Alligator mississippiensis: one gene and its partner. The protein of the gene in region 1 interacts with the protein of each later gene in a pairwise test. Links are inferred from orthologs where the notes say so. Each region holds a gene or a part of one and is shown on either strand. Other genes may lie near its edges.

What was found.
Region 2: the proteins of ZC2HC1A (region 1) and CASTOR1 interact in binary tests that used the Homo sapiens proteins (3 or more experiments, as listed by UniProt). The two-hybrid records come from large-scale screens. The link is inferred for Alligator mississippiensis from reciprocal best matches to the Homo sapiens genes ZC2HC1A and CASTOR1.

The regions. Positions count from the first base shown.
Region 1 is NC_081826.1:55,108,818-55,124,485, forward strand, and holds the start of ZC2HC1A (zinc finger C2HC domain-containing protein 1A), read right to left. Parts: upstream 8,435-15,668; 5' UTR 8,370-8,434; coding exon 8,354-8,369; intron 1-8,353.
Region 2 is NC_081833.1:27,633,702-27,649,393, forward strand, and holds the start of CASTOR1 (cytosolic arginine sensor for mTORC1 subunit 1), read right to left. Parts: upstream 8,643-15,692; 5' UTR 8,603-8,642; coding exon 8,490-8,602; intron 7,271-8,489; coding exon 7,200-7,270; intron 1-7,199. UniProt on the Homo sapiens protein: Functions as an intracellular arginine sensor within the amino acid-sensing branch of the TORC1 signaling pathway. As a homodimer or a heterodimer with CASTOR2, binds and inhibits the GATOR subcomplex GATOR2 and thereby mTORC1.

The DNA of each region.
Region 1 (15,668 bases):
GTGGCTCCAGTACTGCTGGCCATCAGTTATTAATACACCTGCTCTAAGTAGGTGTGATAGGAAAAGCTGTCATATGACTTGCATTTCCTCCCTGGAAGAGAACATAACTAATAGTAATTATCTACCCCATATATACTCACTTAAGAAAAAAAGTTCTGCTCTGTCCTTTCTTGGTCTCTGTCCCTTATGCTTCCATGTTACATAACAGCAAAGGCAAAGAGGGAAACAACAGGACTATGCTGGTTGAAGTACTGCTAATACAGAGCTCTAAGACTGTGCAAAACTTTGGTAGCTGATTTAATTCAGAGGAGATTTGGCCTGATTCAGGGACCAAATCTCTAAATCCAAATCAAATCAGGAAACCAATTAAAAGCTCCAAAATGATTCAAAGCATCCGAATCAATTTAGAAAAGCTTCAGAAAAAGATTTGGCCATAACCTAAACAGGCAGCTGCCTCCAGCTGGTAAATCTGTTGGGGTTGTGGAAGGGGGGAGGAAGGCATTTGGGCTGGGACAGGAACAAACTGCCCAGCTCGGGCAGGGGATGGGTTACATGAGGAGTGGGGCAGGAGGACATGGGATCTGGGCATGGCAGCGCTGGGAGCGGGACCTCTGCCCTGCTGCCGCTTGCCCAGCCAGGGCCGGGCTGGGGCAGGATGCGGATGAGGCTCACTCCAGGCAGAAAGGGGTTAGTCTATTAGTTGAACTTATTTGTGTATATTGAGGTAAAAAAAAGAAGACATCAAATTCTTCAGGCTTCTCTGCATCATCCATACCTAGGTTCTCCCCTTTTGCATTTAGTAAAGGACTTATCGTTTCCTTGGTTTTCCTCCTACTTCTGTCATATTCGTGTAACCCCTTTTAATTGCCTTATATCCCTTGCTAATTGCAGCTCAAATCATGCCTTGGCTTTCCTAATTTTTTCCTGCATAGCTGTACAAAACAGTTATACTTGTCTCTAGTAATACGACCACGTTTCCACTGTTTGTAGGATCCCTTTTTGAGTTTGAAACCATTACACTTCTCATGTTTCTGTTGCATTAGGATACTTTGCTCTTGAACTCTGAAAATGGCCTCCTTGAAGTAAAGCCAGCTCTCCTGGATTCCTCCCCCCCGCCCAGGAATCCTGCCCAGCTTTAGGATTCCGAACTCTGTCATTTTGTGGTCATTATCACCCAAGTTATCTTCACACTCTCAAGCAATTCCTTCCTATTTGTGAGCAACAAGCCAGGAAGAACTCCACCCCACCATTGCCCATTCCCTGCAAGTTGGCCTCTCTACTACCTGTGCCAAGAAGTTACCCCAAATACATTAAAAAAATTTGCTAGACTGTTTAATGCAACCATTAGATACTGCAAGCACTCATTTTAGATGTGGCTCTAGCTCTACTATATAGTTGTATATAGCAGACCTTTCCATCTTTGACTACAGACTTTTACCTATTTACTGGATGGACCAATCTATGATTACCTCTTGAAATCTTCAGAATTTGGCTAGCTACTTACTTATCAGTATCAGTCACACAGACCACAGAAAGCCTGTGCTCTGCCTTTCAGAACACTTACAGGTACATTCGGACCTATATTGGACACAATATTCTAGTGTTCTAATAGAGCAGTTGAGATATGATGGAACATACAAATTGCTAATAGCTAGGTTTATCCCCTTGACTTCCAGTATGTGCTTCCACTTAAAATTTCACAAGCTGCCTATTGAAGGGTAAACTGTGAGCCCCATTTGCTTATGTTTTTACTAACAGGGAAGGCTCAGCAGGTTACTCAGAGATTTAGAAGGTGTCACTGAACTTTTATAGATTGAAATGTTATTGTAGTTTTCTTCTTTGTTTTTAAAAGTAGTGTGTAATAACTTATGTATGATACACTTTATAAGCTAAAAATATCAAAAGTTAAAAGATACTAATTATATGTAGTAATAAGGGTATGACAGTCCTTTCAAATGCCTTTTAGATCCCTTGTTCATTGTTGCACGAATAAAGTCCTTTTTCATAGAAAATAAGGGTTGGAAGGGACCTCAGGAGGTCATCTAGTTCAGTCCCCTGCTCAAAGCAGGACCATCCCCAACTAGATCATTCCAGCCAAAGCTTTGCCTAGCTGGGTCTTAAAAACTTCCAAGGATGGAGATTCTACCACGTCTCTGGGTAACCTGTTCCAGTGTTTTACTGCCTTCCTAGTTAGAAAATTATTCCTAATATCCAACCTAAACTTCCCTTGATAGAAAAAAGAGCAATGGTCTCGAGTTGCAGCATATGCCACCACTAAGAACAGTCTAGCTCCAACAGTCTAGTACCTTAGCCTTTCTAGTGATGAAAAAAATATTAACACTATTAAACCTTACCCCATTCAAAATTGTTAAAACTCTCTGGTATGGCATCCCATTCACTTTTAGAAATCATCCAGTCATACAGTCAAAATTATTCAACTTCAGCAAAAAGTATCATGTACAATTCCAATTTTCACCATTTTTAGCATATTTTCCAGAACAGAATACATTCTTCCCTAACTTCCTAGTTTTCCATTTAATTCAGCGAAATAGAAAGCTCAGTCCTTATACCCCCCTCATATTCTTTTGTTTTGAAAAGACATTGCGGCTGGCTAACGTCAACTCAGACAATAGCCAGTGGATGAACACCACTGCCATTATATTTTCACTGTTCCATGTTGTCTGCATTGCTATAATATCCCTAATAATTTTAAACAGAGAGGAGATAAGCAAACAAAAGTGAAGGTGCAATAACAAATATACCACACTAAGAAATATTTCTTGAGACGGCTTATTAAAAATATATAAAGGGCTAAGGCAGGTAGGTAAGGGGAGGAATACAAATAATGATCATGATAATGATAATTAATACTAATGATAATTAATAAAATGGGCTGTCAATTTTATAAATTTTCCATGTGAATGTTACATGCTATCCAAGTCTGTATTTCAAACATGATAAAAATGCAAATAAATGGTAGAGGGCACATACATAAGGTACTCTGCACGCTGTAACTAACAACACTCAATACCTTTGTTTGAGAAATGCAAAGTCGCAAAGACTTACTTTTGGCAATCCACTCCAGTCTGGATGAACTATTCACTAGACTGCCTCACATTAGATATCCAAGAGCACAAGAAGCCAGTCGATTTTAACCACAGTTACAAATAAAGCTCTCTCTCAATTCTCATCCTTTTATATACTTCTAGTGAGGGGCAGGTCCTTCAATCTTAGCAAATAATAAGTAGAGTCAGGACATACCAGAACACACACTACACACCAAAAACTTTTTGACTGTTTAAGAAGACTGTATAATTTAAGAAGAAAGAATTGTGGAAGTTTCTCTACCATCCTATTTTAAATGCTATTAATAAAGACACTATAAGTTTTATTCCATTCACAAGAGATAACAGAAAGTAACTCATACCCCACCTTCATCAAGTTCACACTTGATCTGCATTGACTTTACATTCACAAAGTTAGTTTGTCTTAATATTGCTAAGGTCACTGGGAAGGTTTTATGTTTGAATACAGGTCTTTGGAAGATGGGGAATCCATATTGTTTTTGCAGTGCCAAAAAAGTACAGGAAAAGCAACCCTCCATTTTAGAAATGACAATATAAACTGTCAGAAGGAATCCCTATGAAGCAGACCAATCATTACTCACTTTCTAAAACACTGGTTAATTAGAGACTGAATATATCCACAAAGCATGTGTCTGCATTATACCAGCAAGTCTGCCAGTCTCATTCCCACTTCCCAGCATTCAGCATGAAGCTTAATCTCATGCGGTGGGATGTCTGGAAGCATGACAGTAATCAAATTCAACAATGTTAAGAATTGAAGAGATAACAGTGACCTCAAGTTAGAAGCAGGAGTCCTGAAACAGGCTCCTACTCTCAGAAAAGCCAGGCACTCAGATAAGAATTATAACAACTTTGCACCTTTCATGAATTGAAACATATAATCCATTAGTCAGTTTGTGATGCATGAAAAACAATATGCAAAATATATATTTTAGGGATCTCTATACTTAGAGATCATCATAGCTTGTTAATATAAACTTTGTTTTAAATAACTTAATTTCATTGTGAATTAGAAGCAACTATGCCACCCCGACATGTATCAACAGCATGGTTTGATGCGCTCAACCTCAAGATGCTTAGATTAGGCCCATATAAATTTCAAAAAAGTAATTATTAGACAAATGTGGCCAGTCACTGGAGGACTGCAATGATCTGAGGAAATTACATATGAACTATGGATTCCATTTGAGATTCTGTCCATTGTGTCATACTGCAAGCTCTACTTCAAGATTCTTGGTCTTTATCAATCTTCTCTCTTTTTATCTCTGTCATGGACTAAGATTCTTGAGGAGTATTGGCACAATGCTGATAATGGAAGGTCACTCAAACACTATACTGTTGAAATGTAATCAATCTAGTGCCTACCCAAGAGAATTGGTTTATCAGCGGAGAGTTCAACTATCAATGAAGACAAGTGGTAGCTAAACATCTAAAATTTAATTTAAAATTATGAAAAACCTATGTTAAGGCTGATGCCTGTCATAATCTATTAAAACAATAAATTAAATTTAATTAAAAAACCTTAAGCAGTACATGTTTGTTGCTGAAGCAGTAAAGAAAGTCAAACCACTGAATTAGAAGGCCTTGGCTGAAACCACATTTCTTGAACTGCAATGCTGTTTTTCAACATGAATAGCCTCTTCTGCAAGCGTGGAAGGAATAATTTCTTCCTTTCGACTTATTCAACTATTTCAGTTCCAATGCAAGCTCTTTCTAAATAGAGTAAACAAACTGAAGTTGTCAATAACAACTCTGGCCTTCCAAGCAACCAGAGAGAGAGGATTTTTTTTTTTTTTTTTTTTTTTAAGAAGGAGGAAAATATAACTATAAAACCATAGAACAGAAGTCACATGAGTCACCATGACACAAGCCCAGTGTAATACTTTAACATGTTTTGAAATCCTGTTATAAACCACAGTGCAGGTAAGTTGTTGGGTGTCCCATTTCAGGCAGGAATGCTTGAAATGCAATTATGTTCATTTTCATAAAACATTTTATGATGACTATTATAAGATCTTTCTGTCCCTAGCTAATCTATCAAATTATTCCTATTTATGGCCCTGAAAAACCATGGAACTAATTTTTAAAGGCTCTCAGCAACAAAAACTTCAACTAAAGTTATGGAAACTACAGATATATCAGTCAGCACATCTGAAAAAATCAGGCCCTGCACTGTCTTCAAAAATTTATTTCTTAAAGAGCTAAATGGTAAGTTAATAAAAACATTTTTTTTTCCTCAGGAAAACATCTTATTAGCATGCAGATTCCACAATGCCTTTAGAAAGCTAAGCAAGCAGTTTTAGATTTAGCTGTAAAAACCTATAATGACAGTTTTGTCACTTTAAATAACATGTGCAAGACCTGGTCTTCCTGCAGCCAACTTAGTAGGTTCAAGATCTGGCTTTCAGAATCAGTGTAGGAAGTGACAAAACTAAAGGTTGAGGGAGGTGTGGGGGGGAAAAAAAAAGAATGAAAGAAAAAGAAAATCGAAGCAAGTTTCGGCAAAGTAATGAAGCCATGTCAGAGAAGGTTTGCTTCAATCTCATTACAAATCTAGACAGCTCTAACATACTTGCTGTGGGATGGAATTACAATACAAAACTTGTAATTAAGCTCTTTGAATACTACTAACAGCTCCAAGATCTAATCAGTAGGATCACATAAACATACACTATTCAGTAGGGCATCTACATGTGCATTTTACTATGGAGTTGACTAATTACCTCTGCAGTAAAGCATCACCGTCTACACGAGCAACACTAGTATTAGGCCAGACTAAAGTAGTTAACTCCCCAGTAAGACAGCACTGCCTGACAAGTACTATCTTACTAAAGCAAAGATGTCTACAAGTGTGCTGCAGTAGAGTAAATAGTGACTGGGGCTGGCTGGGGCACAAGGGTGCTGCACTGTGGGGGCTGCCTGCCAGCTATCTCCACCCTCGTGCCCCAGTCAGCCCCTCTACAGCACGCTTGAGCCAGGGCAGAGCAGGCTCACCCCCCAGCTCCCCCGCCAGGCAGGGCTGCACCACCCTGGCTTAATGTGCTGCGGCCCAGGCACATGTGTAAACACTGTGGTTAGGAGCAATAAACTCTGGTGCGAAATGCACCAGTTTATTCAAGTGCACTAGTTTCATGTGTAGATGCACCCAATATTGCCCAAATAACTTCCTGCATCCCTCACTATAAAATTCCCCACTTATTAATTAGAAGCTGGTTCAAAATAGATTTTGTATCTTATGATTCTAAGCTCTCTGGAGGGGGAAAAAAAGAAGATCAAGTTTCAAAGATGGGTGGCATCCCACACTAAAAGCATTCTGTTCTCAATACATGTATTTAAATCGAAGAGGGCACCTCCAACAACAGTATCAAGTTCAGGAATGACTCATCAAGTAGCAGTCTGTCTTCTGAAATACTTCAACATACACTTTGTCATCCTTACTTTGGACCCTACCTTTCCACACAAATATTGATTAGACATGATTTGTGAGACAACTTGTGAGATCTAACACTTTCACAGCCAGAAGAGGTGCAGATTCAACAAAAGTAAACAAAAGCAGTTTACATATATACCCAGCCGTTCTTACAGCAACAAGAATGGATGAAGTGTTGCTAGATAATACTTTGAAACAGAAAAAAACTACTTCTCATTGAAATTAAATGACTGAAATATTGAAATACAATGATAAGTCAAGAAGCTACTGAATACATACTTTTCATAACTCGCAGAACATTTATGTGGGAGAAAAGTTAGATGGAAAAACAATCTGTACAAAAAAACAAATGACTAATTTAAATAAATAAACAAATAAATAAAAAGGACAGAAAACAACATCTCTGCTACCATTTGCTATGTTCAAGTCAATCAGAAATGCTCTTAAAGAAAACAGAAGTTTCATGCCATAAAAACAATTTTATTTTTCAAAAAGATGGCACCACCATTGAGAATATGGTCTATAGCAAGGGTACACAATCTTTTTCCCTGTCTATCCACAGGCCAGATCGTGCTGGTAGCCCAGATCTGGCTTCCGGAGAAGGGCAAACCAGGGCCTGGGGGCAGCCCAGTTATGATCCAGTCACCTGAAGGAAGGGGACTTAACCTGGCTGCAACCTGGTGTGATGAGGCATGACCCAGTCCTGATCCAGCCTTACAGGAGGAGGGAACAGCCAGGCTTCCAGGCTTCCTGGGGGAAGGGGATGTGGCCTGGCCCCCAAGCCAGCCATGGGGGTTGGCCATGGAGCTTAGGAATTTGGCAGCAGGAGAGGGAGATGGCATTAACTGTCACTGTTCCCCTGACACCAAATTTCCCAACCCGTGGGGAGCCCTGTTGACCAGATGCCATGGTGCCAGGGGCCACCTGATCTATAGAAATTTCATATTAGAATAGTCATAATCCATCCATCTAGTCCCAAAAGCTGTCTAAAATACACAGAATGCAAACGGTTCTTGACATGTTTCTGAACCAGCCAGTCGGTGCTGAGAGAAGGAGCAGGCCATATTCTGCCATCATACCTTTTTGGGAGGGCTGCCACACTTGCGAGTGCCACTCGGATCCCCCTGCCCTGTGCAATCTGCAGCACTTTTGACCCCCAGCCCTGTGCTTCCCCCTCCACTTTCAGCTCCTGGCCCTGCCTCCGCCTGCTCCGCTGCTGCCCTCTTCTTCCTTGTGCCCCCCTGCCCTATCTGCAGCCATGCTGCCTGCATGCTCCCCCCACTATGATCTCCTGGGTGCTATCCACGCTCCCACACGGAGGCAGGGCCAGTCAGGCACCCCTCCGCTGAGCAAACCCTCGTGGGAGAGGCCACACCCACCCTTGAAGGCCAGATCCATCCTCCCCCGAGTGCACCCCAGAAACACTTGGTGGGGCCAAAAACTTATTGCATCAGACCCCCCCACCCGGCTTGCCCCCCCTGCCAGGCCCCGGGGGAAGAGCTGCCGGCTGTCAACCCCGCGAAAGAAAAGGGCGCCAGGAGCCCGCGGGGGCTGCTCGAGGCCTGCTCACAGCGCCGGACACCCCGGAGCCCCCTCCCCTCTCCGTCGCGGCCGGGCCAGGCCGGGAGTCGCCCCCGCCCCGCCCCGCCCCGCCGTTCCTGGGGTCCCCGGGGCACCAGGCGCGCGGAGCGGCTCGGGCCAGCAGCGGCCCTTTGTCTGCGGCACGGCGCGGGCCGGGCCGACCCAGGAGCAGCCCCCTCCGCCGGGCCCAGCTCGGAGCCCCGGCGCCCCACAGGCCCGGCCCGCACGGAGGAGATGCGCGGCCGCCGCCCCTCACCTTCCAGCCCCTCCATGGCGCAGCGCGGCCGCTCCCTCAGCCCGCTGGGCCGCTGCTGCTCCGGCAACCCGGCCCCGCCCAGCCCCCGCTGCCATTGGCCCGGCGCCGCCCCGCCCCCGCCTGTGAGCCCGGAGGCCCGTCTGGCCCCGCCCCCCGCCGAGCCCCGCCCCCCCGGCCGCAGCATCTGTGGTCGCTGTCCCGCGCCCCCTCTTGTCCCCGCCCTCTGGGGCTCGGCTCCGCGCCGCGCTGCCTCCCATCTGCTACTGCAGTCTCCCGTCTCTGGAGGCGCCGCCGCCCGTTGGCCTCCATTCCTGCCTCCTGTCCCGAATTAGAAAGCCTCCTGCAGGGATGGCAGAACTGCTGGAAGACGAAAGAGGACAGTAACCTCCCGGGAAATACTCTGAGCCCTGGCGTGTACTCGCTCTCCCTCTCCCTCCTACCAGAGAACACAGTAGGCACGTGCACGTGCACGTACACAATTACCAGAGAATACGCACCCCCCCCCCCCCCGGAAAAGTGGTGTTTGTACCGGAAAGCTTTCCAACTACAATTTTTCCAACTATTGAGTTGGTCTAATAAATAATAATAATAATTAAAAATAATAAATAATAATACTTTCTAATCCTCAAAGGGAATTTACAAAAGACCTTTCACAGACAAGCCAATGAACTTGACATCACAGTCCCGGATACAAAAAGTAATGGACTAAATACAGACGTTGGATTTATGACACATTATAACACCCCTAACATCTGACTCCTCAGGTACCTCTCCACTTTTACCAGCTATAGTCATTCCCCTCCCCCACCGCAACCTGTCTCTCACCCACTGACTCCTCAATTTACACCTTCCCTGGTTGCCAGTCTTGCATGGGGCAGACTTACCTGCTTGAGCCCCAGTGCATCCTGGACTTGAGAATTCTCAATGCCGATTGGTGGCACCCATCCACCAATCAGGGAAGAGCAGGGAGGAGCTGGCACCACCCCTTTCCCAAGGAGCTCCAGAGGCAGTTTAGACCTGGAAGCTGCAGGTCCATTGGACTTCAGGGTGGAGCCTGCTGACGGTATGAAGAAGCAGCATGAGCCACGCAGGGGGGCGTGGTGAGAGACCTTGGAGAGGGAAGAGCCTTGACCAGGATCCCTTCTTCACCGCAGCAGTGCATAGGCTGGCACATGGGGCTCAGGTTCTGGGAGCCGCATCGAGGCAGCTCGAGCCTGCATCCCCAGCCGAGGGCTGGACAGAGCGGTGTGCTGACCAGCACACGGAGAGCCGGCCATAGGAGCAGCTCAAGGCTGCTCGGGCCCACACGGTGTGCAGTCTGGCACATGGAGAACCTGCCCTGGGAGCAGCGTGAGGCTGCTCAGGTTAGCCCCAGCATAAGCCGGATAACCGGAGTCTCGCAGTGTGGCCCTGCCAAAGAACTAAAAGAGCCCTGGAGCCTAGAGCAGGACCCAGGAAAAGGGAGGCCCAGGCATAAGGCTAGATAAACCCAGCCAGCGACGGCTAGATTCCCTTCCACGAGAGCTGGAAGAACCCTCGGTGCCCAAAGTGGGACACAGGGCCAGGAGGGGAGGTCTCGGCATGAAGCAGACAGCACTGGTGAGGCCTCTGATTGAGCGGAGGGCCCCAAGGCCCGGTCAATGGCTCCTCGAAGAAAATTGTAAGTTGCTGGTGGACTCAGGTCCTGCAGGGGAGACATTCCTGAAATAAGGCACACTCCCAGAGGGACGCCCTGGATGAAAATATTCCTCCCAACTAGACCCATAGGAGAGGAAGCACCCCTTGCTAGCTGGGATCCAGGGGTAACATGCCTTTATATCGTGTAAAACTGTGCCTCATATTTTGTATGATTGTTATTGTAATTATGGATATGTTGTACAACATGTTATGGGATTGGATTAGTTTTGTATAATGGGTTCCTGGCTTATATTGTAAATATTTATCTGTATTCCTTTGGTATTGTGAAATGATATCATTAAGAATACTTTTGGGAAGTTTTCCTTTGATACCTATTAGGATACTTACCTATACATATTGGATAAGAATAATATTTATATTATAATTCAATAAACTGTAAATAGTTAAGAGCATTGGTGTGGAGTTGACTGTATAGAAAAAAGAGGGACCTGAGCTCAAATCACCGGTGTCCTTCTTACACCACTGTCGCCTGCCTCATCTATCCCTTCCAATTGAGGACGGGCACACCCTTGGGTGTTCTTGGATTACACATGCAGACCAGCCTCTGGTTTCTTTGCTATTCATTCCATCCAGGAAGAGCACACACCAAATGCAGATGCTTTCTCAGCATGACAAAGGGTATTTGTACCCAAAAGCTTGCAAAGAAGAATTTTTCCAACTATTTGAGTTGGTCTAATAAAAAATATCAGCTTTACCCAAAGAACCTTATCTGCCAGTTTCATCAGAGGCATTTATTTTTCTATCCGCCCACCCCCTTTAATGTATTTGCTTGCAATAGAATCATAGAAAAATAGGGGCAGAAGGGACCTCAGGAGGTCATCTAGTCCAACTCCTCTATCCAACTATATTATTCCAGCCAAGGCTTTGTCTAGGCAGGTCTTAAAAACCTCCAAGGATGGAGAGTCCACAACCTCTCTGGGTAACCTGTTCCAGTACTTTACTATCCTCCTGGTGAAAACATTTTTCCTAATATCTAACTTAAACTTCCTTTGCTGCAACTTGAGACCATTGCTCCTTGTTTTATCATGTCACCAGAGTCTTAGCTCCATCCTCTTTGGAACCACCCTTCAGGTAGTTGAAGGCTACTATTAAATCCCCTTTAGTCTTCTCTTCTCCAGATTAAGTCCAGTTCCTGCACCTTCTCCTCAGTCATGTGCCCGAGCCCCCTAACCATTCTCATTGCCCTCCTCTGAACTCTCTCCAATCTGTTCACATCCTTGAAAAACTCAATATTGCAACTGAGTTTACCAACATCTGAAAACTGTTTGCATGCCAGTTGGTATTAAGTTCAAGGAGTGCTGTGTTGTTGTGCCTTTTTAGATTGGACGGTGGGAGGGGAGTTGTTCTTAATTTGGTCTTTGACTCTATTACGTATATAAAATGTCTTTTAGTAAAATCTTTCCTAGTGTAAAGGAAACCATGTGCATTGAATAATTCTACCATGGGTAGATCACACTCTGCCAGATGTGAAGTAACCATTAGATCTCCTAGTGCTTCTAATATGGTTGTGCTCATTGGTAGCAACTCGTTTTAAAAGACAAGCCCCAGGAAATGTGTAGACACAATATAATAAAAAGCTAGCTAGCTAGCAGGGGCAGATCCAAAGCAGGTGCTGTGGCACAGTCACATTGCACTTTTGGACTATGCTGTGGGGGCAGCATTCATGGACTTATAGTAAGTCCCTGAAGCAGGGAAGAATTTCCCCCTCCCTTCCCCTCCATACTCATCAGCACATCCCTTTCCTTCCTCCCCATTTTCCCCCACTCACTGCTGCCCTTGTCCCTAGGTGACTCGGGGCAGCGGGGAGTTCCCGAGCCACTCCTGCCGTGTTCCCGCTGGGTTCTCCAGGGAGCTGGGCTCAGCCAGGGACAGCAGCAACCACAGCAGTGGGTAGATTCCCCCCCCCCCTCCCCCCACAGTCTGGAAGCAGACACAGGGACAGGGAACCTGCCTACTGCTGCTGCTATTGTCCCCCGCTGAGCCTGGCTGCACACTGCGGTGGAGAGGCAATAGGAGAGGTGGGAATGTGAAGCTGAGCATGGAGAGAAAGGGAGGGAATGCCCTGCACAGGGGGCAAGGGGAGGGGGGCAGATTTCTTACCCTATTTGGAGACTCAAAGAGGTCCCCAGCTGCTGTTCCCATGGCATGGTCCACCTGCCCTCGAGGAGGGCAGAGGAGAAGCTAGGAGCAGGGCTGGAGCCACCCCTTCAATGTCATTTGCTGCTCCCGCACAACCCCTTTACAAAACCCTGGCTCTGCCCATGCTAGCATGTATTTGTATGTGTGTACAGGCATGCATACCACCACTCCAATGAGTAAAATCAAAATTGTAAATGTGTGGCATAAGCTTTGAACACCTACTAGCCTATCCAGATTTTTCTTTCAATTCAGAGAGTTGCACCTCCATATTACAAACTACAGGCTGAGAATTCTGTGCCCCTCTGCCCCTCACATTTCTAAACAGCCATTGTGAACTGTGTTAAAAACATGAAATTCCTACAGTTTTGCTACACTATTTTTTGAACCCATCGCAAGCTTACACTTCTTCTTCCCCCCTTACGACCACTTCCAGCAGTATTTCTGTATGAATAGCTTTGTCCTATGACCAGTAATTCCTAATCGGGGTGTTACAGCACCCTGAGGTGCCTTAAGATCCTTTCAAGGGTACCATGTAATGTGGTACTGGTATATTCATTATACCTATACCTGTATATTCACTATACATATACCACTATACCAGTAACCACCATATATACCACTAACTGGTATATTCACTATACCAATCATTCCTAATCAGAGTGCCACAAGCACCCTGAGATGCCCTGAGATCCTTTCAAGGGTACCACATAATGTTAGCATAGTTAGGTGCCCAAACATGATTCATGCAATAAACTCAAGAGATTTCAAATAGGAATCCATAGTGTTAAAAATGTTCCAACCTGCCATGGTTTTTCTGAGTTCTTTGCAACAGAAAAATTGCTCTATTATTTTTCTGCAGTCAAAATATGAGTGAAAATTTTGAGTTGGCATTTTCTGAGGCATGCCTTAAGTCTAAGAGTGCCTTGGAACCACTGCAGTATACTATGAGCTTGTAAGTTAAACAATCAGCTATCATACAATCAACTATCAAAGCAATAGTAATATCACAAACACTGATTTGTGGCATTGATAATGAATGACTGGCTGTTTTTAGAAGAAAAAACAAAAGTTTCTTTTATACCAATCTGTATCCCCATTTCAGGGACTATGCACAATGTACGAGCAGCATTTATTATAGTCATTACTTTCCATATATACTCATAGTGGTGCAGACATCCATGTTTAATGCATACTTAATTAGTAAGGAAAACATGTAGAATAAGTCTAGGATCATATGCAATCAACGACAATTTCATGATATTTAAAATGATTGAGAAATAAAATACTGTAGTTTCTTGAGCACATACATGTGCAGCTTGAGACTTTGAATTATCCAAGTCCAAACAAAAAACAATATGAAAAAAAATTAAAAGCATGGGAAAAACTCTCCATTTTTTAAACATTAAATTTAAATTTTCTTCAAACTTTAGAAAAGCATATTAACATTCCGGGTAAGGGCAAAAATAAGTTAAAGTCTAAAGGGTTTCCTGTTTTTTTCTTTTTTTGTGAAAATTTTAAAAAATTGAAACTAGTAGTTAGGATTCAAAGATATTCTCAGCCCAGCGAAACCAACAAAAATAAACCAGCAGTGGAAGCACCATCAATGGAAGCCTTAATGGTGTAGGCTGAGGAATGCTCCCAATACTCTTAATCACTGATGATTCTTCATTAGAGATACATGCATCTCTCTGATTTTATGAACACTTTGTAGAATAAAATATGGACCCAATCCCAAAGAGTTTATTTAATAAACAGTGCAACGAGCAGCTATTGATAGACCAGAGGCACCAGGCCAATGGAATAAAATCCAGGAAGGAGAAGTAAGGTTACCTGAGGTTGTGAGGACTTTACAACTTTTCCCTACTATATATAAGCTGAGATAGGATTTAATCTCATATCTTTTTTCTTTAGCACAAATGTTCAAGATTTCGATTTCCCAACCTGAATATTAAAAGGGGACTGATTTTCAGAAACTGGTGATTTTACACTATCAATAAACTCAGCTCCTAAGTTTCCTCAAATTGGAAGTCCCAGGCAGAGGCTCACAAAATCACTGTCACAAACTGTAGGCCTTAGTTCTCAGTACTGGATGACATAAGGATCAGCAACTCACAGCCTGCAAATTTAATTCAGCTTGCCAAGTAATTTCATTCAGCTCACAACGCATGAATGTTGGCAGCATTTTGGCAGCAGAGTGATTTTGTGGTAGGTTGCACATGCAATGGTGGGGATAAGCAGAGATAACTGGTTTGGAAGCACTGGCCCCCTTCCTACCAAATTGTATTATTTTAGCCTGCCACTCTAGAAAGTTTGCCAACTCCTGGTGTAGTGCCAGAATAGTTTCAAAATCTTGCTGGAGTTCCAGAGATAGAGTTTGAGCTTTGCTCTGGGCTGGTGTTGAAGACTTCACCTAGCCATTGCAGTAGTATTAAATAAGTACCTAGTTGCAGGGGTGACACATAGGGGGTGCACACGGGTGAATGTGCACCCCCTGAGCATGGCAGTGCACCCCCTGCAAAAAGGCACTGCTGATCTGTGGGCGGTCACCACTCGCCACCCCACCGCCAACACCACTGGCAGCGTCTGTGGGCAGTCCACGATCGCCCCTGGCCATTGTTGATGCTGCCTGAGGGTGGTCGCTGACCCCTGGTTGGCACTCACCACCCACCTCCCCCCCTCTGCTGACAGTGCCAATGGCATCTGCGAGAGCTCTGCGCCTACTGCTGCCACACTCCCACAGCCGCCAGCGCAGCCGTGCACCCTCAGCCGCCAGGGGCATGCACCGTTCATGCCTAGTTGTAGGCCACTAACCACATTACTTGTGTGCTGTTGGCTGCATCAGCTGGTGAGCTTTAAACATGCTAGCCTAATTCTTTAGCTTTGTAGATCTTGGTGGGTGTTTCTATTTTTTTAGCACAGTGCTTAACTGTTGCTTATTTTACCATAAATTTTCACAGAAAGTTTATAGATTAAATTTGAAGAGCCAATTAATATTTAAAATTGTCTCCTACACTTTCTGATTCTTTGTAATGAAGATTAAAATCTTTATTGAAAATCAGCATCTTTCATGTTAATAATGAACATTACATAGGGATGGATTTCCCAAAGTAGCATACTAATGAATATATTTTACAAAAAACCTAGGCCCCTGGAGTTTCGGATGTGCCTGCTCTAAGGGACAGGTGATTAAAAAAGAATCATAATAAACTTACAATTAAAGTTCATTGTGGATGAGATAGAAGAATTACTACTTCCCTACTAAAATAATATCTCAATTCAATTGCTTTAATGATCTATACTTGCAAATTATGAACTGGGAAAGAGCCTATTGTTCTATTTCTTCTTGTTATAATCCTGATTTGTATTCAAGGCTGGAGAGTTGCGATTATCCTGCCAATCAATTTATCAACTCAGTTTTTCTTTAATACATTTGTACACTGTTAATTGAGTTATTGTGGGGGACTCAAATTATGCTGAA
Region 2 (15,692 bases), on another chromosome or scaffold:
TCAAGGTGGAACTCTGAGGAACACTATCTGTAACCACTCTCCAAACAACCCCTTTGATCTTTATCCAATTTAATCCCAGTCCTCTGCAGTTTGGCTAATTCTCCCCACTATGAAGCATGGTGTCAGAAATTTGGTTCATTTGTCTAGATTCAAGTTCACTGCATTGATTTTGTCTTGTCATAGAAGACTATTAACTTCATCTGACACAATTTTCTTCCATACCTTTAATCGGAAGATGATTGTAAGTGGGATACAATGCAGCTTGAGTTTAACTGCCCTTTCCTTCAGTATCTGCCCCCAGATCTTACTCTATTGTTGAAGCTAATAGCCCTGTAACTGTCTGGCTAAGAATCAGAAAAAAAAAGGATCCTCAGTAGGTTTCCTCAGCTACAATTCTCATCTACACACACACACACGCATGCCTTCTCTATCAGAACAAATGCCAAGATGGGTCTTCACTAGGGATTGCAGGGGGAAATCCACAGGGAAGATGCCATGAGACGACCATGATTAGCAGGCTGAGTCAGAGGGCTGGGATGTCATATATCAGTGAGTGAGAGGAAGCACACTTGGCTAGAGATCAGGGAAGGGGCAACGTGTAGGGAGTACACATAGGTGCACATCCACCCCCTGAGCATGGCGGTGCAACCTTTGCAAAAAGGTGCTGCTAACACAGTTGGCAGCACCTGCGGGTGGTTGCTGCTCTCCACCCTGCTGCCAACACTGCCGGCGGCGTCTGCAGGTGGTCCACAATCACCGCTGGCCGCTGTCACCTGCAGGAGGTTGCCATCCCCCCCAGCCAGCGCTGGAGGCATCTGCAGGAGCTCCACATTTACCAACACTGCCAGCACAGCCATGCCCCCCCACCCCAGCCACCAGGGGCATGTGCTGTTCAGGGATCAGGGGTCTTTCTATCCTGCCTTCTAAGTGACACAACCCTAATTACTATGTTATTACCTTCTCCCTTTGCTGGAGGGTCTACAACATATCAAATATAATTTTGGCTACTGAAAACCTGGTTCTTGAATGTAATCATGTTCCCACAGTTACTTTGAGATTCAGCAGTGACACAGGTTGCTAAAGCGATGTCAGAACTTGAGTGCTGAACACTGTTGTACATTGGAATTGGGCGACTTATTTCTTCCTTTGTTACGGGTGAAAGATTCTTGCCAATACAGGAATGATAATGGTCTTCATTCTCCAAGGCCAACAGATAAGTGGTGTCCCATAATCAAAGTCATAGGTTTATCAGTGCTTTCCCAAACTGCCACACTTGTAATTTAAGTCACTTGTGTACAAGAAAGCCTCAGAGGCAATCATCTAGCTCTGAAGGAGACCTAATTAATCCACATCTACATAGGGGTCTCAAACCCTGTTTGGCCCTTTTCTCACAGGACTCTTTTCTGCAGGAGCTGTTCTAGCAAATCTCAATGGAGAGGGTTGGTTTCTGAGTTAGAAGTTTAGGGCAAGAGGAGAAAAGAAGGAGAGTAAATGAACCAGGATAAAATGGCACGAGCCAGGCATTATTAACCTTACATAACAGAGAGATTCTTGACTCTTTGGTTATAGCCTCCTTGCTAATCTCTTTAATCACATATAGATATTATTTTTATTTGGCCAGTAGTAAGAGCTGGTATTTAAAAAACTTACCATAATTTCTCATTTGTAATGTTACTTTGAATTTAACACTAGCTGTGTAGGAAGATGTGAACGTATAGTGATCTTTGATGTTATCTCTTTCCCGAACCAGGTAACAACCAGGGTAGCTGACATCCTACCTACTGCTTATAGGTAAGGAGACTGGCTGTGGACTCCTATTAGCTTTCTCAGCTAATAGTGACACTGCCAGTGTGAGTTATACATCCAAACCATCTGTGCGAATCACATCCAGACCACACTTATCACTACCACCAACTAAGGGAGTCACTCCTTTATCACAAATGTAGAAAGTCTTCACTCTAGCACTCTGAGTCAAACATCTGCAACTTAAACTAAAAGTTGGTTGCAAAGTTTTGGCCATTCTGTTCTTCCAACCTGCCTTGGATACACTGTTTAGCCTTACTCTCTAGCACAGAAACCAGCTACCTTTCCAAGCTACAGGCCAAAACATCCCATAGTCCAGCACAGGCCAGTGGCTTTGGCAGTGTCAGCAGTGAGGGGGTGGAGGTTTGCCTGCACCCATGCTGGGGCCAGACTAGAGGTGCACTGATCGATTGGTTGCATATCAGATCAGAACCAGTAAAGGGAAAACTATGCACCATCAGCTTTTTTTGGCCTGTGTAGCTGATCATGTCACCGATAAATGCCATTGCATGTGGCTGTGCACATGCACTACACACGGCCAGGAATGCAGCTGGGCAGCTTAGAGAGCAGCATCCTGCCAGTAAGTCTATGGGGTGGAGGGGGGCCAGGAAGAGGCATGGGGCAGCAGATCAAGGCCCCCCACAGTGAAGGAGTGGGGCAGGTGCAAGGGCTGCCCAGCCAGGGCGGTGAATGGGACCCCAGGGACAGGAGTGGGATGGAGCTGTGGGTGGCTCATCCAGAGGGTGCAGGCGGGTGGGAGGGGGGTGGCTCCCCACTGCTGTGTGCATCCCCGGGGGAAGCATGGGGGGCACGTACCTCCACGGCAGGCTGCCCACTGCAGGCTTGGGGTCAGTGGCTGCGCCAGCCTCTTCCTGGCAGGGGAGCTGGATCAGGGCTGGGCTCAGGGCAGGTGGCAGTAGCATAGGAGGGGTGGCTATAGCTCAAGCCCCCCAGCACCACCCTTGCTTGGGGCACTCCATTCTGCTTCCTTTCCCTCAGAAGCACCATACAGGACCAGCACAGAGCTCAAGGAAAAGGCAACAGAGTGGCATTCCCTGGGCAGGGGTGGCACTAGGGAGGGCTATAGCTGCCCTAAAATTCCCCACAGGCCCCCCACAGCTCCCCTCCCAGCACTGCCATCACCCACCCCACACGGTCAAGTCCACCCCAAGCCCAGCCTAGCATCCCTGCTGGGAAAAGGCTGGTGCAGCTCCTAGCCCCAAGCATACAGCCCCCCTCTCCCCCCATCTGGGGAGCACATGCCTCCCATGCTTCTGCTGGGGATGTGCATGGCAGCAGGGAGCCACCCCTCCTCCCCATGCCTCCTGGACAAGCTGCGCACAGCTCCATCCCACTCCTGGCCCTGGGGTCCCATTCACCACCCTGGCTAAGCAGCACTTTCCCCAGCCCCACTCCCTCCCTCACCCTAGGGGCTTCAATCTGCTCCCCTCCCCAAGCCTTTTCTCTCCCCCATGCTCCTTCCCCCCTGCACAGACTTACCAACAGAGCGGTGCTCTCCAAGCTGCCCAGCTACATTCCTGGAAATCGAATATTGGATTGGCATTGGCCAATATGGCTAGTTAATAATCAATCTGCTATCAGTATTGGCCAAGAAAATCTTTATCGATGCACTGCTAGGCCAGACAGCTGTGAGCCAAGTCTGCATCACCACTGCTTATCCCAGCCCCTGCCACAGAGGGGAGCTGTGCTGGGACAGGGAAGCTGGGATTTGCACCCAGACTTCTGCTTCTCCCTGCTCCATGCTCCTCAGCTGCAGCATGGGCACAGCCTCTAGCCAGCAAGGAGCTGTGCAACTTCCAGCTTCCAGCTGCTTCAGCACATCTGCTCCTTCTCCCTGCCACCCTGCCTGCACTCTACCCACTTGGCTGCAGTATGGGTGCAACTGGAAGCTACCCATCCCCAGCTCAGCTGCCCACTAGCTGGAAGCTGCACCTACACCGCAGCCAAGGGGAAGCAGCCATGATGCAGATATAGCAGGGACAGGCAATTATTTTGGGCAGGGGGCAACTTACCGAGTTTCAGCAAGCCATCGAGGGCCACACGACAGGCAGCCCAGGGCAGATTAATATTTATTTTCTAAATTTTTTTTTAGGGGCCCCGCAGGCTGGATAGAATGGCCTAGCAGGCTGCATCCGGCCCCCAGGCCACATTTTGCCCACCCCTAAGGTACAGCTTCTAACTGCTTAGCCCCAGGACAGCTCCCTGCTGCCTAGCCCCAGCACAGACATAAGCAATGCCCTCAGGTTGCACAGGCCAGATCGAGCCCATGGGTCAGACGTGGCTAACCCCTGTTCAAGGATCCTGTCTACACTAAGGAAATGCATCCTGCCATACAGCAATGCTGGTGTAGGGCTTTGCATTGGCACTACTAAGGTACTCGTACTGCACAGGCACATGAGTACTTGACACCAGCTTGTTACTACCTTAACCAGCACCATGTAAGCTCCTGAGCAATCCTTCTGCATCAGGAGGCTGCAATAATTACAACAGAGTGGCTATGATTTAATATGCTCCTTGTCTGACATACTATAAACTTCACAGCATTTAGTTTAGTTCATTTGCTCATTTCATGGCTATTCTCAAACTGTACAGCTATATCACTGCATGTGGCTGCTTCCGTGTACTTCTATGGGCTGGCTTCATAACAACCCACTAAAGAGTTTTTACTTTGCTGGAAATTACAGCTTGGAATAGAAAGAGTAATCCAACAGAGTCTGTAACACTCCTCTCAAATTCACTGCTCTGCATTCTTCCTCCCCACCATGGGTTTTTCTCCTATATACAAATGCATTAAAACAAACAGCTTTTGAGAAGCTGTTACACTAAGACTGACAACAGAGGCCTAGTCTTAAAGCTTTTTGTATCATAGCAACTTTAACTTTCAAGGTAAAATTCTGTTGAACCACACACTACCCCATGCACTGAAGTGACAGATCCCAGACCAGCCTCAGCAGGTCAGGGGAGTTTGTAACAGGTTAGGAGCTCAAGTATGAACACCAAGTAGCAGATTTATGCTATGTGAACCACTGTCAACTGCTGCCAACTGGCAAAGCCATCAGACCCAGTCTAACCTGCAGTACCAAGTGCGACACACCCATGTGCTGCAGCTGGGAAGAAGCAGCAAACCTGAGCGGAGCATCCAGGTCAGTGACATTTTCTGGGCCAGATCCAAAAAAGATTCATTTCATTCTGTGCCAGCCTGTGCTGTCCTTCAACAGGAAGGCACAGGTGTAGGAAATCAAATGCATCCAGTTTGCAAAGAGATCTGCTTCAGCCTCTGACAGGTCAGAGGCCTCACTCACTGGACATGTGTATGTTGCATGCCAGAGAAAGCTACAACACCACCAAGGTTTATTTCAGCTTCACCTTCCCCAGCATCACCCATGTGGCTGGATGCAGTTACATAAATACACATAGTTGCAATTACAGGGTCCCTTCCCCTCACCTCTGACAAGCCTCCAGCAAGTAGTACAAATCTATGCATAGGAACAAATCACCCAACCCAGTTTTTGTTTGGAAGAAGAGGGAAACCATTTTGGTAGTTTTCACTGAGTCTTTTTGGCTAGTATAACAGGTTAGCTACCCACATGACATAAGTATAAGAAACAATAGGTTCCTGGACCCCCAATTTCTCCCCAGATATACTATCAGTGTGTCCTGGGACAATGTCATACCTGTGCCAAGTACTAAAAAACACCATATCTCATGGGCATGGAGTACCAGCCAGGTTCCTTTTCTTGCATGGCAGCAGGCCCTCCCTGGTTTGCTGTGACAGCGACAGCCCAGTACTTAATGGTATCCATAGCTAGAGATTCATACATTATCATTTATATTATTTTAAACAAGAGTAAGAGGTAGAGAATTTACTAGTTACTCTGCCTATGTCTATGCTGGGTCTCCTGCGACTTGGGGGGAAACTCCCATGCACGCTCACTCCTACCCACACATGCCAAACCTGGAAATAGGGTAGTGAAGCAGTCCCCGCATCATCCCAGATGCTGGTCTCAAGAAACAGCATGGAGGAAGTGCCCCTCAAGCAGCATTCCTACCACATATCCAGGCTACATGTGTGTAAGCAGAAGCAGTTGGGGGAAGAGGGACAGGCTCAGGAATATTATCCCAAGACATGCCAAGGACAGCACATCTTTTTGGACAGAATTAGGCATCATATTAGCATAAAAGAGACCCTACTATGGTAGCTAGGCTACCATCTCTCTACTCCACCATAGAGCTTCTGCACAGAACCTTCCCTACAGGCTGCTTATCCTTCTCCTTCCGCTGCTACTCCCTTCCTCCCAGCCCCACCACGGTTTTAGAGAAGCTTCAGCATTTATCCTTTCCCAACACTACTTCAGCTGTATTAGGAACGCTGCAAGACTGACATTTTTAACAGGTCTCAGCAAAAAAACTACCAGCAGCTGCTAGAGCAGGGGTTTGTAACCCCCGCACACATGCCAGAGTGTGGCATGCAAAGGCATTTTGCTTGACACACATTCCTCAGGGCAGATAGCAGAGAAGGGGCCAAGCTGCACTTCCAAAACAAGGATCAGGCCCCTCACAGCTGCCCCACCATCTGGCCCCTGGCATGCCAACATCTTACAAGTCAAGGATGGGCTGCTACTGGCACTCTGCCTAAACAAGTTGCTGACCCCTGTGCTACAGCAAAATCTCCTGCGGCTTTTCCATGCATGTTTTACCACTTACTGGATTACCTATGAAGAGTCTACTTATAACAAAGTAAACTTGGCAGGACTACACCAATAGTACCCATTTGGCTTCCAGAAGAAAGCCAGTAATGTTCTGTTGTGATGTTAACTTTACCAGCAGTGTAAGCTAGTAGCTCCTCTTCAGGGACATATAACTCTAAGTCTGGATGTTGCCACATGCTCTGAAGAGTTTACTAATGTACAGAAACCTCCCCTGACAAGTATTAGGTTGAGAACCACTAAGCACCTTCTACAGCTGGTTGATACTTGCACATAGTTTCCTTTTTAAATATTTGCATCTCATATACAATAAGCTAATACCAGAGGAGCCCTCATTAACATGTTCAGTCAGCTACAAAACATGCAATACAGCTCTACATAAGCATCCACAACAAAAAAAATAGGTCAGAAGACTTACAGGTTATTCATACAGCCCTGCATGCTCTGTGACAAAAGGATGTAAAAGAAAAAGCCATACAACTAATGATAGTATCGAGGGGGGGGGGGGGGGGGGGGGGGGGCAACCCTATTACCTTATACAAACACATGCAGGGTTTTCACTGCAGTGGAGAAAAATAATGGGTTAGAACAGTAGTTATATGGCAGTGAAATAAAATACACTGTTGCCATGAACTATAACCTGGACGTACAGAAGTCCTTATGCTGTACCTTTAAAGCCTTCTTCATCTAGCATGATCGTGTAGTCCTCAGGAGTCTCGGTCAAGCTAAAGAACTTGCACCTACCAAAGCAAATACAGGTGATGCACATGAGCCAGTACTATAGAATCGGTCATTAGCCACAGGCAAAATCAATTCCTATTATGTGTGGAGAGGTAAGGAGTTTTCCTGCCTCCTAAAGCAGTTCCCCTCCCCATTTGCTTAATTTCCTTCTGAAAACTGAACTAAAGCCATGTATACAGCAGATGACACTTATGAAACACTGTGGTGGTCCATGAGTATGAGGAACACTGCTTTTCTTGAGCATTTAAAAAGGTGGGGTGGGGTGAGCACGACTTCTTTTTTTAAGCAGGCAGGACCTCACTCCCCTTCTTCGCAGCTGAAAGTATCCCTACAGGGCTGTTGGTTTGGCGTGTAAAGATACAATCCAACTTTAGCTGCAGTTTGGCTTTATAGGCTCTCTTTCTCTTTTGTCTACACAAAGACTCTGAAGTGTGACAAGAACCAATTTTAAATAAGATGCCCTGCAGACACCCTCTGGGAAGCTGGAAGGAGTTGGATAAGGGCTGTTACAGTCAGAGGAGCAGTTTTAAAAAGGACCCATGAATTTAGAAGCGAGCTTCTCTAGCCCCAGTGGAGAGAACAAGCAGCAGCACAGGGAAACAGGCTCCCACGAGCAGAGCCAGGAGTCTGGGCCTGGGGGCAATTTCACTCCCAAACACCAATCAGACAGACTTACATTTTGCGAGCAAATCGCAACAAGGAAAAGTCTCCAGCTGCTGAATCACCAAGGAGCCTGATGCAAGGCAGGGAGCAGCAGGCGGGGCACACAGCAGCTGCCTCGCACCAGCGCTTGGACAGGCCGGAGGGGGCAGCATGAGAGGGCCCCCAAGGCACAAGGCGCTTGGAGGAGGTCGTGGCCCTGCCGGCTCTGCCCAGCACAGCGCTAGGCCAGGCAGCTGCCAACCCCAAGCAGCCACTGTGGCACTTCCTACAACTCTTACTTCATTCACATCAGTCTTCTCCAAGGTCGGGAAAAAAGGAAGGAAGGAAGGAAGGAAGGAAAAAACCCAAACAGCCGTCTCCGGAGCAAACACCAACCCCGGGACGGCAGGCAAGGGGCTGCGTCTTCGCCAGCAGTCCCACCCCCAGGAAGGCAGAAGCCTCCACCCCGGGCCCTCAGCGGAATCACCCGGAGCCCACGGCGGGGCAGCCCGCGCCGCGCCGCGCCGCGCCGCCCACGGACCCGCTCCCCCCGCGCGGCCCGGGCGCCGCCGGTACCTGCTGCGCTGCGGCAAGAAGAGCAGCTTGAGCAGCGGGTGCGTGTAGAGCCAGAGCCCGCGGCGGGCCACGCTCAGCACCCGCACGCGGTGCTCCAGGATCTGCAGGTCCATGGTGGTCGCCGCCCGCGCCCCGCGCCGGGACGAGGGGGCCGCGCCCAGCGCCGCCACTATAAAGGGGCCGCCCCGCCCACGGGGAGGGGCCGGGGGGCCCGCACGTGGGTGGCAGCCCCGCCTGCGGTCGGACGCGCCTCCTCGCGCAGCCCGCTGGCTCCTGTACAGCGCCATGCACAAAGTGTTGTCTGGATGAGGTAGCGAATCTTCATTCTGTCTTATGAAAGCAGACTCTTGCACATTTCACAGCAAGCTGGCCCACGTGAACATCACAAGGATAGCCCTATACATACTAGCTGAAGTTGCCCATTTTCCTGGGTCAGTCCCAGACTCCAAGAACCTGGTATTCCAACCTGTAGCCAAGGGCATTGGTGACATTGGAGCCTCTGCTTCTCCAGACAAAAAAAATAATGGTTCAAGTCATTGGCGATGCATAAGGGTTGCACACAGGTGCACATGCACCCCCTGAGATTGGTGGTGCACCCCTGTGATTGGCCATTGCCAATGATGCTGGTGGTGCCTGTGGGTGGTTGCCACTTGCCACCCCCTCACCCTCTGCAGCTGACAATGTCAGTGGCATTTGCAGGCGGTCACCGATCACTGCTGGCCGACACTTCCGCCACCAGCAGTGTCTATGGATGGTCGCCAACCACTGGTTGGTGCTCACACCCCATCGCTGCTGACTCTGCCACCTCCACCTGCGGGAGCTCCCTGCTTGCTGCCACCATGCCCCCCCCCCTCTGTACCACAGCTACCCACTAGCCTTCAGTTGAACAGCTTCTGACTGCCTGCTAGTACTGAGAATCTAGGTGTTTTCCTTCTCAAGGCCAGTAGACACCTGTGAAGCCATGAGCTACCTTTCCCCACAATGATCCAGCAACATCCCCTTACACTCAGCTTCATGGATGCCTCTTTGCTCTACATGCCCCTTCACACAGCAGCCCCAGCCATGATGAAGGCAATGTGCTTAGATCACTGGTCAGAAGGTAAGAGATTAATAGGAAGGGATAAGGACACAAAGATAAATAAATCCAATGAATAACCCACTAACAATCCATCCTAGTGTGATCCTTTACTGGGCAGTTAATGATTGGCTAGGACTAGGACATGAGGCAAACCCTGAGAGGACTTTTAAGATCATAGGCGGTTACTACAGCCAAACTCACTAGGTCAAGGGTGTAGCTGGCCAAGAAGTACAACTACATCAGGAGAGGTTGGGAGGAAATGGTGCAGTTTTGGTTTGGGCCAATCTCTGCATGAAATAAGAAACTCTTCTCCACCTGCTCCTAGAGTGCTTTTAAATCATTCTGGGTTGCTTCCCAAAGAAAAGAGTGAGTCTGCACTTGGGTTATCCAGTCCTCGCAGCTTGTGGATCATCAAAATATATTTTTAGCTTGTGGCCTAAACTAAGTAACCTAACTATCTTCTTTCTGTAACCTTGCTTCCCTCCTCCTCCTCCTCCTCTCAGGGTAGCTCATATCTTCTTCTGTCTGCCATTATTTAGGCTGTAAATTATCAAAGACAAATACCTGCCTCTTACAGGAATAGATTCTGCAAAGCACTTATACCCTACCTTGCCCAAATACCTCAAGTCAGTGCCTGGTTCATTCACTACTTGTGCTTACAATTAAAGCACATTTGCATGTTTTTTGCTAAGCTGAGGTTTTAGTGTATTTGCAGATGCTGTAAAGTAATAATAATCCCTATGACTGGTATAACTTTTCCATTCTTGAATCCAAATATTTTTGTGGTTCTTCTAATTTACAAACCCTCAACATTCAAATATGACTGCAGTGTTTTCACCCTTTCCTAGGCCAGAAAGTAAGTAGAGCATAGTTTCAAGCTCAGGCTCAGGATGAAACTATTTAACAGTGGTGCTCGCAAGGAATGTGCTGCATGCATTGAATTATGAAGTTGGGTCTGGAATCAGCACAAACTCACCACAAAGGCCAAACTCCACTGTCACTGTATAATGGTGATTTCCAGGAAACGTTAACTCTGAAACACAGACAAGCTTTCACTGGCATGTAAAGGAGCTAGGAACTTTCCATCAATGGCAATCTTCAAATGGGAAGATAATATCAGAGAGAGAGGTTGTGCAACCAGCATGGAAACAATGCTCATTAAAGCACCACACAACACTACTGTAGCCACGTACTGCAAACCAAATACACAATTACTAGATAATAAATCACAGGCGAGCTGGGAACAAACCCCTGGTGCACAGCACCTGAACTGTAGGCCTCGGTTGTATGAGTTAACGTACAACTAGGATAGTTGGCAGCATGAGTAACCGCATTAGTCCCTTTGACTCAGACATTAGAAGGCAACCCTACATATTTTCTTCTTAAGTAAAGATAGGTTAAGAGCCACTCTTCAAACTGTATGGTTTGTTGCAAAATAAAGCCTTAAACTGACTGCATTTGAAATCCATGGCAAATACACTGAGTTGAATAAGAGCAGGAAGAGGGTAACAGTCAGAGCTGTCCCTAGGGGTGTGAGGGGTCCAGGGGGAGGGGGAGGTGTGGCAAGCAACAGGAGCTGGCGGAGCTGTGGGGGCGGGTGGCGAGCAGCCAGAGCCGGTGGTGCTCAGCAGCAGCCATGCGTGGCAGCCGCAGCGGGGCCTATACTGCACTGACCATGGAGCCCCCCCAGAGCGTGAGGCCTGGGGCGATCGCCCCGATTCGCCCCCCCAGGGAAGGGACAGCCCTGGTAACAGCAGATGGGATCCTGCAAGCTGGTGAGTATTTGTTAGTCGCACAGGGTGTACTTACATGTTCTCTGGGGTGGGGGGGGGTGCTTTAATTAGAGCTGCTGTAATTAAAGTGCCTGCGGCATCTCTTGTATTCAGCATCCTGAGCTTCAGAGGGCTCCCATTCAATGTCTATGAGATGCTCAGAGTGACCCACTTCAAGGCTTGTTGATCTGACTGGTGAGCCGTTTAACAATGATATGTAGTGCACTGGAAAATGTAACCACTAGCAACAGACTCTTTTCTCCCCATGATTTCTCTGCTTTTCATGCCGCACCGATATTCCTAACAGCTGTGTGGTCCTTGAATGCAGCCCCCGGAGATCTGTCTCATGGCCCTGGAGAGTATAGATACAAGGATGCCACATTTACTCACAGGCCAAGCAGCCAGATACGATATTGTATGCTGGGAACTGTAACCTAATCAGGCAGCCACTTCTGATTAAAGATGTAGGGTGTCTATACACGTGCTCTAGGGTGGACACTTTAATTAGAGACTCTGAGAGCCGCTCTAATTAAAGCGCTTACAGCGTCACATGTACTCAGCGTCCTGTGCTTCAAAATGGCAGTGGGGACTCTTTAACTAAAGCTGTTCAACAAGCTTTAGTTAAATGCCGCCACCGCCATTTTGAAATGCGGGGACGCTGAATACACCTGATGCAAAGGCTAATTAGCATGCTCCAGCAGACTAGTTCATTGAGTCTGCTCCCACATGTGCTAATTAGCATGTGCTGAAGCAGAGGTCTGTCACTTGCATGGGTGGCTGCAGACAATTACAAACTACCCCAGTCTAGGTCAATTAGGTGCTACCATTGGGTTCATACCACTTTGCTAACATGCCTTCTTAGTTTAACAACATCTGAGCTAAATCCTGCTCTGAGTTACAACTATGTAAGTCTGGAGAAACTCCTATGAATCAATTAAGTTACTCCAGGTTTGCAGCTGCCATGATTAAGAGCATGTACAGCACATGAACAACAGTTTGTTCTATCTGAGATCCCCTAAACTAAGCATTTATCTGTAGATCTGGCCAATACTAAACAACCAGGGGTGGATTCAGGGGGGTGCAGTGGTGCAGTTGTAGCCTCCTTTGATTTTTGGTCCACCCAAAGTTTAAAACCAACTGCCTAGCAGTGACAGCAGTATTTCTATTCAGGTATCAGAGAATGAGTCACTTGATCTCATGGTTCTTTATTATTGAATTCCTTCTAAAATCTTCATTCCACAGGAGTTAATGAACCTCTCCTTTTTAATGATCTTGATGTTCCACTAATTAAGCTATCCTTTCTTCTGCAAGTCTGCTGTGTTAGATGCCCTTAACTCTTGTTTCACAGCCCCACAGACTGTTTTTAATGCTAGGTAAAAGCATTAATGCAGTGTGGAAACATTAACTTACAGAAATAACTTTCAAGAGAAGCATTGGATTCACTGTCAAAATGCTTAAGAAGGCTAGACTTTGTTTTATGAATTTGAAAAAGGAGACGTCGACAGCAATCCTCTCTGTGGACCAAGACATTGTAGTAGTGGAGAGGCTTATATTTCACAGTGATCCTCAGAGCTATGTTGTCCACAGTCTTACACTCCTGGCAGGGTCACCCATGGTGAAGAAGCTTGACGGGAGGTTCCACCATGGTCTACTCCCAAGCGGATCAGGTGGAAAAAGATGCCAGGATCTCAACCACTGTAAAGACAGAAAAAAGTTACAGGAAGGGGGGAGGTATTCATGTTATCTGGGATTCTCCCTTGCCACTGGCTCCAGATCTCCACCTTGTTAAGATCTTGTGGTTGTTGTTTCCATGCACTAGCTTCTTCCTATTAAACAAAGTCATGCACAGGTTTTTATCACAGGAAACAACACTCTCTCATACCAACCTTTAAAAGCCCTGCGGTGATGGATCAGTGGTGACAGAGATAGGACTATTGAATCTGGCAGTCTCCAGCCCTGAATCTGCATGCAGGTGGCAGTAGCTGGATGGTTGTCCTGCAGCTGGGTTGAGACAGGAGTGCAATTCAGCAGCTGCTGCCATGACTGAGCAGTCTTATTCAGGATCCTCTATACACACCCTACATGGGGAGGGGGCTAGAAGAGGTGCCCTAAACCTAGGCTGCATTATATGCTCCTGGCTGTATAACTGCAACCAGTGGGATTACTCTGCTTGATAGCTTCATGAGACAATGATTTTTGCAGCATGGAATGTTTGCAACTTGATGAACAGCCGAGACAACCAATGACCAGCATGAAGAACTGCCATCGTCTCCAGAGAACTAAAGGGATGCAGCTACAGAACTAATGAAACAACATCTTTTGACTTTGTTTTGCCTAGTTTGTTGTGGTTTTTTTAAATGTATATAATATAGCAAAGTAATGCACATTCCAATGAAGTTGTATTTGTTTTTGCTTCAATCTTAAACTGATTGGCACCTAGTTTATTATAGCTTCTAGTTTCTTTTCAACTGGAGAACAATGTGTATTGAGGTACTCTATACTAGGGGCAGGCAATTATTTTGGGCGGAGAGCCGCTTACTGAGTTTTGGCAAGCCATCAAGGGCTTCATGACAGGCAGCCCAGGGCAGATAAATATTAATTTTCTAAAATTTTTAGGGGCCCCCATGGGCCAGATAGAATGGCCTGGTGGGCTGCATCCAGCCAGCGAGCTGCATTTTGCCCACCCCTGCTCTATACTATCAGCAACCCCTCTTTTCAAAATCCTATATCTGCCCATGTAACAACCCTTCCTGCCTTTCCACCTTCAACCAGAAGGACCTTTCAATTGAATTCCCTGGGATTTAGGCAGCCAGTACAATGGGTCTCCTTTGCATTGGGACTCAGGTGCCTATACTATCTCTATCAGGCATGTCATACCAGAGATCCTGGATCAGCTTCTACTAGAAAGACTCCTTCATAGCAAAACAGTAAATATTCAGAAGTATGTTAATCCAAAGGCCCCAGGCTTTAGGTTCCAAGGTATGTTCACTGGCATTTATCCCCAGGCCCCCACTGCACTGATCTTTCTCTTTCCACACCCCGCCCCCCCCCCCCCCCCCCACACACACATTTGTCCCTCTTTCAAAAGCAAATCAGAAATGGTGTGCATGAGACTTAGACCGGAAAATTCAAAATGAAACTGAGCAGGACATCACGAGATGTTCTATATCTCAATGAAACACACACAAGATTCCTTCTAAGGAATTGCTTGCATTGCTTTCAGAGATCAGATTCCAAAATCTACAAGCTCAGGAACATCTTTGCATTTCACCAGGTGACTTTAAATTGGAAGGAAGTACTGGGATTGGTGTAGCTGTGAAAGGATGGCAAAGATACAATCTGATACACTGCAGCTTCCCCTAACTCACCAAACAAACCAGGTCCCGACAATTTTCTACTTTAAAAGCATCTTGGACAGAAGAGAGCAAGATCACATTTTCCATTTGTCCAGAAGCCTAAGCAGACAGCATTACCCGCACAGACCTGGCTTCTGCCCAGGTCCTGCCTTTGAATGTAACTGCCTCATTTAAGTGAAGTTCACACAGCACAGCATGTTGCAGGCTAGAGTTTCCTTTCACATCCCCTGTGGGGAGATTTCACTCTTTTCTTTTTTTTCTTGTAGGTTTCCTGTGACTCAGATTTTAAAGGGAAAGAAACCAGTTTGCAGAACACACTGGAAACTGAATATGAGAATTCAATTGCGAGATATAGTTCTACAATTGAAGTCTCATATTCGGTTTCCAGTGGGTTCTGTCACAGGACAGAAGCAGGTAAATTATGGCCCAGGATATAAGGTGTTTCCCCCAGCTTGATTCCCCAGAGGTCACTTCACTTACTACTGTGAAACTGCGCATGCTCACACTGTGCCTCAGTTAAGGCCAATAAATAAATCAGTCTCCAATATTGGATATTGGATTTTGCCTGGATACTAGTCTATGGTCAGTATCCCTACCATGCCTCAGCTTTCCCATCTCTAAACTGGAAGTAATATTCCCCTTGTGCATAGCACTGAGGTTCTCAGATACATATGTACTTGTGTTAGATTTGGGGCTTTTCCCCTAACCTATAGGATCCAAATTATAGACCATTTCTCAGATGCCAAGACGCATGATCCACTTGAACAGTGGAAATTTAGTGCACGTCAGGTTGAACCTTCACCAGCTTTGGGAGTTTTACCCAGCTCTGATTCCACCCAGGGACTTTGAGAGTGTGAAGATAATGTGACCAGCATTCAGATCACCAGTACTGAAATCCCCACCCCTTTTCCAACTGTGTTAAATACAACCTTTCCAGCACATGTCAGAGAAACTGTGGAATCAGGCCCTGCAGTGCAGTCTGCTCCATCCCATTTTT